Linked DNA regions of Saccharomyces cerevisiae S288C. The main gene of each other region encodes a partner of the protein of the gene in region 2 in a complex. Each region holds a gene or a part of one and is shown on either strand. Other genes may lie near its edges. The genes, in order: SRB8 and SSN3. A codon is read from its position in the direction of its gene.

The links.
Region 1: the proteins of SSN3 (region 2) and SRB8 are in contact, whole or in part, in a cryo-EM structure (PDB 7KPV), measured with the Saccharomyces cerevisiae proteins. Residues at the interface, in NP_015283.1 of Saccharomyces cerevisiae: Asn216 (codon at 1,804), Trp268 (codon at 1,648), Asp272 (codon at 1,636), Ser275 (codon at 1,627), Tyr276 (codon at 1,624), His278 (codon at 1,618), Gln279 (codon at 1,615), Asn280 (codon at 1,612), Trp281 (codon at 1,609), Phe311 (codon at 1,519), His312 (codon at 1,516), Asn313 (codon at 1,513), Met314 (codon at 1,510), Leu315 (codon at 1,507), Thr317 (codon at 1,501), Ala339 (codon at 1,435), Arg340 (codon at 1,432), His341 (codon at 1,429), Thr343 (codon at 1,423), Pro344 (codon at 1,420), Tyr402 (codon at 1,246), Lys405 (codon at 1,237), Tyr406 (codon at 1,234), Pro407 (codon at 1,231), Pro448 (codon at 1,108), Ile449 (codon at 1,105), Asp453 (codon at 1,093), Phe455 (codon at 1,087), Leu458 (codon at 1,078), Val470 (codon at 1,042); in NP_010004.1 of Saccharomyces cerevisiae: Gly4 (codon at 5,085), Ser5 (codon at 5,082), Gly6 (codon at 5,079), Tyr8 (codon at 5,073), Leu9 (codon at 5,070), Leu10 (codon at 5,067), Thr11 (codon at 5,064), Lys34 (codon at 4,995), Pro35 (codon at 4,992), Trp36 (codon at 4,989), Glu37 (codon at 4,986), His38 (codon at 4,983), Glu42 (codon at 4,971), Asp43 (codon at 4,968), Ile45 (codon at 4,962), Leu46 (codon at 4,959), Ala47 (codon at 4,956), Phe49 (codon at 4,950), Val50 (codon at 4,947), Ala51 (codon at 4,944), Lys52 (codon at 4,941), Gly53 (codon at 4,938), Phe54 (codon at 4,935), Tyr55 (codon at 4,932), His56 (codon at 4,929).

Annotation. Positions count from the first base shown.
Region 1 is NC_001135.5:252,855-259,464, reverse strand, and holds SRB8 (Srb8p), read right to left. Parts: upstream 5,095-6,610; coding exon 811-5,094; downstream 1-810. Other genes in the region: AHC2 (Ahc2p), read right to left, coding at 196-582; type 2C protein phosphatase PTC6, read right to left, coding at 5,292-6,610.
Region 2 is NC_001148.4:472,259-476,589, forward strand, and holds SSN3 (cyclin-dependent serine/threonine protein kinase SSN3), read right to left. Parts: upstream 2,450-4,331; coding exon 782-2,449; downstream 1-781. Other genes in the region: MRX11 (Mrx11p), read right to left, coding at 2,860-3,483; isoleucine--tRNA ligase ISM1, read right to left, coding at 3,735-4,331. UniProt on the Saccharomyces cerevisiae protein: Component of the SRB8-11 complex. The SRB8-11 complex is a regulatory module of the Mediator complex which is itself involved in regulation of basal and activated RNA polymerase II-dependent transcription.

The DNA.
Region 1 (6,610 bases), on a different chromosome or scaffold from region 2:
AATCTGCAGAAGCACAATCCACATTTGGAATTAAAAGATAGTGAAAAATGTACATGAACCCCAACCAGTAACTTAAACATAATATTTTGGGTCACTATATCTAGGGCGTTGTTCTTCTTTGTGATTTATGCAATATACGCATATATGTATATATATATAAATATATGTTTAAAAATGTCCATAGCCGCTATTTGATCATAATAAGCCATCTTCATACAAAGCCAACAATTGATCGTTCTCTGCTATATAAGCGTTGATATCTAGGGCAAACTTGTCCCAGTCTATCTGGGGAATGTCGTCGTTGCTAATCCATTTTTGCTTTTGAAATCCGTTCTCTACAGTGAAAATTTCTCGCAGTAAATCCCTATTCTCCGCCAATACATCAACAAATTCCTGGTAATTCTTGGTATTTTGAATTTTGTGGAAAAGAGAACACAGATTCTTGACAAAAGATTCTCTTTCGTTAATAAGCGTCTCTAGCTGTGTTCTTCGTTGTTGCAGTACGATGTAATCGAGATCTTGATGCAGGTCAGTTTTTTGAAACTTGGCCACAGCATCGTGCGTTCCCTTTGGGGTGATCATTCCAGTTTAAATAGACTGGTACACGCTAGTACTGATCTTGTAAGCGGATGAGCACTTTGTCTTAATCCTCCTTAACCATCGCTCATAAACCCCAGTTTTATAATCGGTGGCAAACATGTCATTTGGTACGGTATCATTTAGAGGAATCAATTGGTTGGGTATTAAAACTGACACATAATTACTGTTATTGGTAAATTTATAATTTATCCATTTGGATATATTCTGAGATCAATGTGGATTTTTCCTCTCAAACCGAGCATCAAAAAGACTCAGGTTTACACAGGAATCGTTAAACGCAGTCGTATCATTACTGCCTGTAGCCATGTCATCTGTGTACTTGGTATTATAGTTGGAGATGAAGTGGTACGGCTCCATGGAAAATGTGCAGACATATTTATGATCTTTCTTGTCATAAATGAGCCATTTCTGTTCGTTTTCGTGCGCTATTTCAACTATGCCGATTCCTAAATTTAAACTAAACGATTCTTCTTGGTCTGCATCTTCTTCTTCCCCGTAGTCGCCACTATGAAGTTTTGTTTCCTTAACGAAAGAGGACACTTGGAATGGTGGTAAGTTCAGCAATTTCTTCGGTAGTTCGACCTTACCGCTTGTGTGGAATGCTGGGGCATCAATTGTGGATGAATAGATGGCGAATGATTTCAATGAAGACAAAATTTCGTACAAGAACAGCTTCAATCTTAAATTAAATGATATTTTATCAAACAGCTTGCATATGCTATCAATGAATGGACTTGTGGGTTTATCAGCTGATAAATCAGCGATGATGCGTTGGAAAATGGAATCCTGATGAAAGCTAAAAATTTTCAAGACGGCATCTATTTGGATTTCTCTCTTAGATAAATTTCCTTCGTTCAGTTCACTTAATTGTCTTATGATCTTTATTAGTAAATGATAGTTCTCCATGGAAATAACTATCATACCAGAAGTTTCTCTTTGAAACCTCATCGATAATGACGTTATAATCTCGATCACCACAACGATGTAATTATCATCTATCTTTTGGTTGTTGTTTTGCAAACAAGAAGTGCAGAAATCTTTCTCCACTATTTGGGTTATCATCTCAATGGTCTGCATATCCTTCAGTTGGTCAAATATTTGTGAACATAAATCATTAGAATTAGTTATTTCGATAATTTGGAATATGAAGTTCTTCAAGTCTTCCATTGCCATTGCTGGCTCATTATTCTCCATGATTTTTTTGATGCAGAAACAGGTAAACGCTTGGAAAACCCAAAGATTGGCAAAGTCCATCATAACGTAATATTCTACATGATCAATTTCGTCGACTGTGTGATCATCATCGTCACTTTTATCATCGTTGGTTACAACAGTGTCATTGTCTGGTTGTCCACTACCCAATGGAATATCGTTAAGATCGGTTTCCGACGGACAAGTTGAGTAGTACAAAATATCCTCCAAAATATTAGATGAGTTTTCCACGCTATCATTCAATAACAACATAATGATTTTTGTAGATGTTGCAAGTAATTTGGGAGATGACCCATAAGTTATTAAAATTTTCAATAGGATCTCATAATAATTTATTTCACATTCGTTGCCATGATATTTTTTTTCTAATTCATAACATGTAAGTAAAATTTTCTCAAAATTTGACTTTATGAATTGTTCTTTATGATACTTCAAAAACAGACCATATGAGCCGTCATTATTTTCCAAGTTTATTGGTAATAATCGAATAATATACTCGAGCCCCAACACATTCTGCGTCACTTCAAAAGTTAGAAGTTTTAGAGAGATCAATTGAATTAAATTTTTGTTAGTAAAGTCTTTCCTTTTCAAGAAAATGGACATAAATTTATTGTACTCCTTCAAGTTAGTGGCAATCAAAAGCATGACATTGTTTCGTGCTTTCTGGAACTGTTTGCTTGTATTTGTATCAATGATCTCGGAGTTGTGTAGTAGAAACCTGATGTTTACTTGAAACACCTCGGGAAAATTCCAAGTCTGTCCAACAGCTTGGTTTGAATTATTGATCATGGAATACACCTTCAAGACTTCTGATTTATCATTCTTCAGCTTCTCAGTTTTCAATTTCTCATCATTGTAAACAGATTGTAACTCAATCCTTAAATCGTTATCCACCTTTAAAACAAAAGGGAAGTTTTTCATAAAAAATTTCCAGAATGGCATAAATGAAGTCACATTATAAGCAGGCACGTCTTTTTCTTTCAAAACTTTCTTGTAAATGAATATGAACGTCTTCGTAAAAAGAATATGGTCATTAATGAATTGTGAGAACAATTTTTGGTAGCATAGCAAGATGTCCATCAATGCCTCCAGAGATTCTATATCACTTAGCAATTGATGGTAGACAATAAACTCGATCCACTTAAAAAAGTGGTGGAAAACCTCCAGATCGATACAAAAAATCTTGAATATTTTTAGCAACACTGTGCGGTTAACACTAGATAAAATACCGGAACATAAATGTGATAAGTACCATTCTGCAACCATGATTTTAATGCTCAGAGGAGTTTTCGACAGTTGCAAATTAGTTATATCATTGGAGAGTATTCGCATTTTGATTTGTTCTGTGATTTCCACGAGTTGGTCGAAATTAAAAATTTCATAAAATTTAACGTCATATTCCATAACGTTCCTCAATACCATATTGTATTGACTTTTCATCAACGGTGAAATTTTCAAGTTAATTAACAGCTGGACATGCACAAACTTATCATTGGAATCTTGGAGATAAAGTAGGCCGGAACTGATTAGCTTTCTGATATACGTAGGGACCTTAATGATGCCATAAGTAATTAGTATATTAAGCAGGCGATACAAAGAAGGCATCATATATGATACCACCCTCTTTTGGGCCGAAAAATTTTTGGCTAATTGGAAAACCAATGACCAAATGGCATCTTCTATCTGGAATTCGTGCAAATCCTCATCTGTTGAATTTATTCGCAATAGTAATAATTTCGCTACCAGTTGATTAGATTCATAGTGATCAAATTGCCTTGATGGATGTATGGACCAGAGAATTAATTGAATAATTTTATGCATTGTAAGGGGATTTTGGTCAACGTAAGTGGGCCAATCGAATTCTGTAGGGTTATCGTCCAGTAGCTTGGTGAACTGAGTATCTATACAATTTAATTGAATGCATGATAGTTTTGGAAATTGTTTACAGGTGACGATAGTTAATTGAAAGTCATTTGCGTTGCTGGCAGACATTATTACGTTTCGTATAGAAGAATTATTCTTCAATGACTCGTTTCTGTAACTAATTAACTCTAATTTTTTCTTCATATCAGAATTTTGATTAGTGTCGGCGTTTGAGACTATTTCAAAAAGTAAGGGCTTGTAAATTTCCCAGTTAGATGTGGGAAATATAAACACCTCTAAAGATTGTTCTTGAAAAATTTTCAAAATTAAACTGGATAATATTTTGAGAATATTCAACTTTATCTTGTTGTTTTTCTTTATATCATTGATGATGTAGTTCTCGTCATTTATCATTGATTTGCTGCTGGAAACAATATAATATTTGTGCAATAGCATATCAGTGATTTTTGTTACCAGAAAGAAGGGCTCTTTTTGACTTGATGTTATTGTAGCCGCAACAGGAGCATTTGTATCAATTTGGCAGATGTCGTTCCAAAAAATCATCAAAATATGTAAAGATAATGGCAAAAATTCGAAGTTTTCCATCTTATTTATAAACTCTACAAGCCAATGATGAAAGATTTCCTTATTGATCAATCTTAGTGAGTAGCAATTCCCCAAAAGTTTTAAAAAATAAGAAATCTGCCTCTTCCACGTACGCAGTTGTTGAGAATCGTTATAGTGATTTGTCATATCAAAGATGAGCTTTTCCAGGATGTATACAAAGGTATCCGTCCAGTCCTTTAGCAGGTGCATGGAAATGGCATCATCTGCCCCAGCAGCATTTGACCTCTTCTTTTTGTGGTTCGATTTCCATTCGATAAAATAGCAGCACTTTATCAACCAAATCGCCCTTTTCAATGGTATAAATTTTAAATAGCACTGCTCGATGACTTGCCTTCTTTTCAAGCCGTGAGGTATAAACTTGCCAATTTTGACCAGCGAAGTGTGAGACGAACTCAATTCATGCAACCACGTTTCCTTTCTATGATCAGTAAGGGTTATTCTATTAGGCAACTGAAAACCAGGCCCGTGTAATGTCGTCGTGGAATTTGAGGGGATCTTATTAATGTGGTCTTCTCTAATCTTGATAATTTTGTCGAATTGCTGGGAAAGAATGTTGGATTGAGTGACTAATGATTCATGAACAGATGATCTCGCAGATATGGACTCGAAATTTACCATTGGTGTATGGTAAAAGCCCTTAGCCACAAAGTTTGCTAGGATTTGATCTTCTGCTGCAGTGTGCTCCCAAGGCTTGAAATCAGGGTATACTTGTTCCTGAGGTTTCGAGCTTGGCACATAGGGGTGAAGATCATCTGGGGGAGTCAGCAAGTATCGACCAGAACCGTTATTCATCGCGTTATTGGCTTACCTCTATAGACCTTTTTTTAATCTTTCGATTAGCATCAAAAATCTCAGCATTTTTTCAGAAAGGTGTTTAAAATGCGCTATAAAGAATATAAAAAGTAATATATATGTATACATACTAATAAAAGGAAGAAAAAAAATACAAAAGATGATTATCTAGGACTTGTTTCCACCCAGGGGGGTGTTTAGTTTAATTTTGTTTCGTTAGATTGTGCATTCATTAGTTTGGTTTCTCTTTGGGGGCCAGTTCTGTCAACATTGGGCCAGTTGCCCCAATTGGAAAGCCTAACCACCACGCAAGTGGCGTTGTCTGAGTGTTTAGTGGCTATTGCCTGAATAAATTTGATTGTCTCCTCTGCAACAAATTGAGGAGTCGCCTTTTTCAGTCCCCAGGAGTTCACCGTAGAGGTGATGAGGTCAACAACCTCTTGGTCTGCAAGTTTATTGGTGATGCCGTCGGTGACAAGCGCCAGGAAGCATTCATCACCATTGAAGGGCAGCTTCGACCTTTCAGATCGCGGCAAATGCAAGGTATTTCCGACAAGAAACGAGAAAATATCCGGCTCACTAGATATACCATACGGTTTCCCAGCGACATCACCAAACGATCTAGTGTTGGCGAAATTATTCAAAAACCTTGTCTCTCCAAAGGCGTCTGGGTCCAATCGAGAAGGGTCTATGCTCAAACGGTGTCGTTCCCTACTGGAATTGATGTGGTGAGTTGTTGTTAATGCGTGTGCAATCCCGTCTTGATCGCAGAGGATGATCTTAGAGTCGCCCACCTGCGTGACAATGAGTTTGAGCAATCCAGAGTGCGATATGATCCACGAGTCATCGTCTTTCCCCTCATCAATGGGTGCATTCGGATCATCATACGGATATAGAAATATGGACGACGCTGTGGACCCCGCTGCGGTGCCCAGGCCGCAGCATTGGTCGAGATCGAACCTGGCAAACCCGTAGAACAATCGCAGACGGTCTAGCTCAGTGAGCAGTGCAATTTTGTCAATAATATTCCCCATTTTATCAAAAATCATCCTGCCACCATTTTGTCCAAGGATCGCACTATCGCCCTCCTTCATCAGCAGCAGTTCTTGTTTCGAGTTGCAGTTCTTTATAAACTTGTTGTAGAATTTTTCAAACGTGGACAGCTTATGTTTCCAGTAATTTCCCTCGGGAAACCTTCTTGCATATTCCTGTACCAACTTCTTCAAGTCCTGCTTGTCCCAGGAGGGTTCAGGGAAATCCAGGCTACTGCACAATTTATCGGCTAACAACTGTGACAGTTGCGCACCTTTCTCCCCATGGCCATCGAATACAGAGCAGTTCAGGGCACTTCCATACGCATTAGGCCACGACCGCATCATTTTAATGGAGTAATTGTCCTGGTTCTCTAACCGGTTGATCCTACTCGTGGCGTGACCCACGTACCCTGGAAGACCCCGTAACAAGTCCAGCTTCAGCCCAACATTTTGCGACGGCTTGCAATACGCATAAGCATTCC
Region 2 (4,331 bases):
GATATACATAATGGTTATAAGTAGACCGCAAATAAAAGTATGTAAAATTAGCTATGTTTCTACATTGTTTGTGCAATGACTTTTAGGTTCGGCTGGTCATTAATAACTAGGTGATGCTGAATTCACGTATCTTATTAGATACATTTAGAATTCATGACTTCTCCTTTGTATGAGCGTGTCCCTCCTTTTCTTGATGGTTTCAGCCCTTCTACATACTACACAATGTACTTTGTTAACCGATGATAACTCTACTTTATACGTAGTTTAGACTTTGAACGGGATGAACTGGTTGTTTCATCCAATGTTTTCGTAAAGTCATTCTTTTTTATGGAAAATGTACAAAGTTGTTTATATTTTTTGCTATGGTTATTAACCTGAATACCATTAACAGATGTGTTATAATGGGAACATATTACTATTGCCGATAAGTTACGAACAAACCTACTACTACCATTATATAAAAATTAAGGGGGGTACTTGAAGTCTTTTCTTTCTTCTTTTTTGGGAATGCATGAGATATTCATATGTTTTAAAGCCCCATTAGTTGAGATGAATTATGACGAAATTCGCATACATCTGCGGAGAACAGGGTTTTAGCTCGACCTAAAATCAACCCATTATTTTACCTGAATGTTGCAGACTTGCATTCTTAGTGCCTCTAAAGCGAAAAATTGAAACTGTATGCCGATTTAAATACTATAAAGATAAAAAAAAGTTTAATGAATATAATAGTGACAGTGCTGTGGAATGAAAAATTCCAAATATATATAAAAATAGAAGCCTATCTTCTGTTTTTCTTTCGAGATGGCTCATCTGATGCATTGTTTCCTGACACCGCAGCAGCGGCTGCTGCTGCCGCGGCCAGAATTCTACGGTTAACACCAAGCCCACCTAACGCATTTGCAGCGGCACCTGCGGTGATTCCTGAAGCTTGTGTATTGTTTTTCGTTCTTGATCCAAGATTCATGATGTCATTATCGTTCGTGTGAATTCTTCTTGCCGGGTATTTGTAAGTTAGACCTTCAAATACATTTTCACTAACAGGAATATCACTTTCTGTGAAGTACTTATGTTCCAACGCATTAAATGCATCTATTCTTTTAATTGGATCATAATTTAACAAGTGGTAAAGTAAGCTTAAAGCATGCTTGTCCCTTCCTCCCGCGGAATGATACCATGTAGCAAGGTTATCCCTATACTTTGGAAACTTCGTAATTTGATCATATTCTGGATACTTCTCCAAATAAGGCCAAATTTTTTGATCGGGAGTGCCAAGAACTTCCAAAATTCTCTGTAGTTGATTCACTTGAAATGGAACAGTCTTTTTAGAGTCTAGTTTAGCTTCTTCACCTTTAAATATGGGCTGTAATCCTATCAGTTCTGCAAAAATGCAGCCAACGGACCATAAATCAACCGCAGGGGTATAGTGCCGTGCTCCCAATAGCAACTCAGGTGCACGGTACCATATAGTGACAACCACTTTATCCCCAGTATAGAGGGTTTGCAGCATATTATGAAATTTTCTGGCCAAACCTAAATCACCAATTTTAACACATCCATCTATGGTCACCATTATATTTGCGGGTTTCAAATCTCGATGAAGCACCCAATTTTGATGAAGATACGATACGCCGTCTAAAAGCTGCCACATAATAGACCGAACCATTCTTGGTGGTATCATCCTTTTTTCGGGATGGGAATGGAAGTGGATAATTTGTAGCAGATCATGCTCCGCATATTCGTATACCATATGGACACATTTCCTTTCCAAAAAAATTTCCACTAATGTGGTTAAATGCTTGTTGTGCAATTCTCGACATAATGCCATTTCTCTACAGGCACTCTGAGATATTCCCGTATAATGCAATTGTTCGACGCCATCCTTCTCTGTCTTGAACTTTTTAATGGCATAAAATACCGTCAGCGGTTTTTTAATGAGGGTTTGTTTTTGGGAATTATAGTGCGGGGATACATCTTCCCTCGTAGTTCGTATTCTTCCGGGGGTCACTCCTTCATCCTTTAACAAGTTTCTTCTTAATGCGTTTGTATTTGCCTGCATGTCCATTGAAGAGCTTGATTTTGGTTGCGTGCTGTCAAACTGCGGAATTTTCGCATTGGTACCATTCAGACTAGAACCATTAGCGGAATTGGTACCGGAGTTGATTTGTCTTTTCGCTTTGTAAACTTTACCATATGTGCCCGCAGCAATGTAGCCAATAACTTCGTACTTTTCTAAGACAGATACCCGCATTCTATCTTTTCTTGCCCTATAAGGTCCAATAGTAAAAACATCATTATTGGCCATTAGCATCGGGGCTTTTCCATGCACACTTCCGATTGTGTTTTTCTTTCCAACGAACGATTGAGCTTGCTGTTGTCCTTGTACCTGCATAGGCCTTTGGTACATTGGCTGATAGGAGTTTTGTGCTCTATCCTTGCCATTATACATTTCTCTCTCCTCCCGTCAAAACTAGGCGGCCTTAATTCAATTGGGAAGCAAAATTACTAACTTCAGTATACCCTTCCGCCTTTTTTCTTTCCTATAAACCTTTCTTGTATCCTTTTTGTCAGCAGTGATTGTGGGATAACTTTCAAGTATTGAAGCGGGAAAATGAAACGCAACTTAAGCCACACCACGTAATTCTTGAAGACTTTTGATGTATGATATTTATTTCACTGTTAAAAAAAGCTATAATTTCCTCTAATCAAAACTCTCTAAAACGAAATCAAAAATATTCGTAACACATATATAACGAAGTACAATATATTGGGAATCTATAAATCATATGCCGAGTGCGCAACTTCAACTGAAAACAATAATCCGTCTCTGGGCCAGAAAAAAAAAAGGAAAAAAAAGCTTTATTTCTTAATAAGGTGCTTTAATTTTTGAAAGGGAAGAAGCAACCATTTCCCAAAATATGGTGCTCCCCAGATACTAATGAAAATGCGTACCGGATATAGTAATTTTACTGTAACGTAGGCTACTGTGCCAGATAAAATCAACTTGTTTTTGTTGAGGCATTCCTGATATCTCTTACCAACAAATTTCTCCATAGCTGTATGACAGCTATCCATTAGGCCATTTAAGAAGTTTGGGAGCTTAAAATCATCAGAAAGATCGAGGTTATAAAGTAACCACCATAGTAGAAACAGTGGTAGTATGGCAGTTACCTCATGCAAGATGAAGAATGATGTAAGTGTTGGAACCGTGCCGGCCTCACTGAGGCGGTCGAAATAGTGTGAAAATTTAGGATTCTTGTTTAACCTTGTTAAAAGTCGTGACTTGGAAAATATTTTACGTAGTCTATCCTCCCTTCTTTTCACTGGATCTAAATTTCCCGATATGAATCTAATTTGGGTTGATCCGCCGGGCCTGGTGTTCATAAACGTGGTCAATTGCGTTGGCCTTTTAAGCATGAGCTCCAACGGTCCAGAGCCCATCTGCAGTTGACAGGGCCTGAAGAAAAGATTCATGACAGTCATGTTCCTGGTGAGGGTGCCTTGGGTGTAACACTTATCCTTACACGGTCTCTCAAAAGCAATATTTTTACATTTCTCTTCTTTGCTTCCTGTTCGTATAACGCGCTGAGAGCTGGTAAGAACAATAGGCCGAGGCCCTGCATCAAAATGTCAGTAGGGGACCTGTTAGGTACCCACTAATAAGTACAAGAGGGTTTTTATTTTCTAAGAGCCAATAATTGGCATTCTTTATATACAGGAAAGGTACATGTCATTCAAGACATGAGATGATCCACAGCTTCTTTACATCTGTCACACAATTTATCCTCTTCGGCTGAGTTGGCCTTCCAACATCTGGGACAGTTGTGCCTTTTGCTTCGTTCAACCAATATTTGAACGTTTATTCCGCTTCCCAATTCAATAGTTGGTAGACTGTTATTATTATCGTCCATTTGCAATATATCAACAGCAGATGATTGCAATATGTCGCAAAGCTCGTCAGAACTGAATGGGAGGTGATGCTTGGTGAAAATGGTAACGTGACTATGTGTTGTTTTGGTGACACCTTCTTCTAGACTTAACCTCTTGAATTCCTCCTGGAACTGTTTTAGAATTTTTAGTTCAAAGTTTTCAAAGGAGGTGACGATTTCCGTATTTGAGTCCAAAAACGGCCATTTTCCACGCATCGGATTAATGTCTATATGTTCTTGTCCTTGTAACCATCCTTCTGGTATATACTTCCATACTTCTTGGACCATAACGGGTAATATTGGTGCAAGAATTGCCCTATATGCATTTAGTATATGGACAAGCGTTGTTTGGACCTGCCTTCTTGCCAATGACGATATTTGGTTGGAATATAAAATATCCTT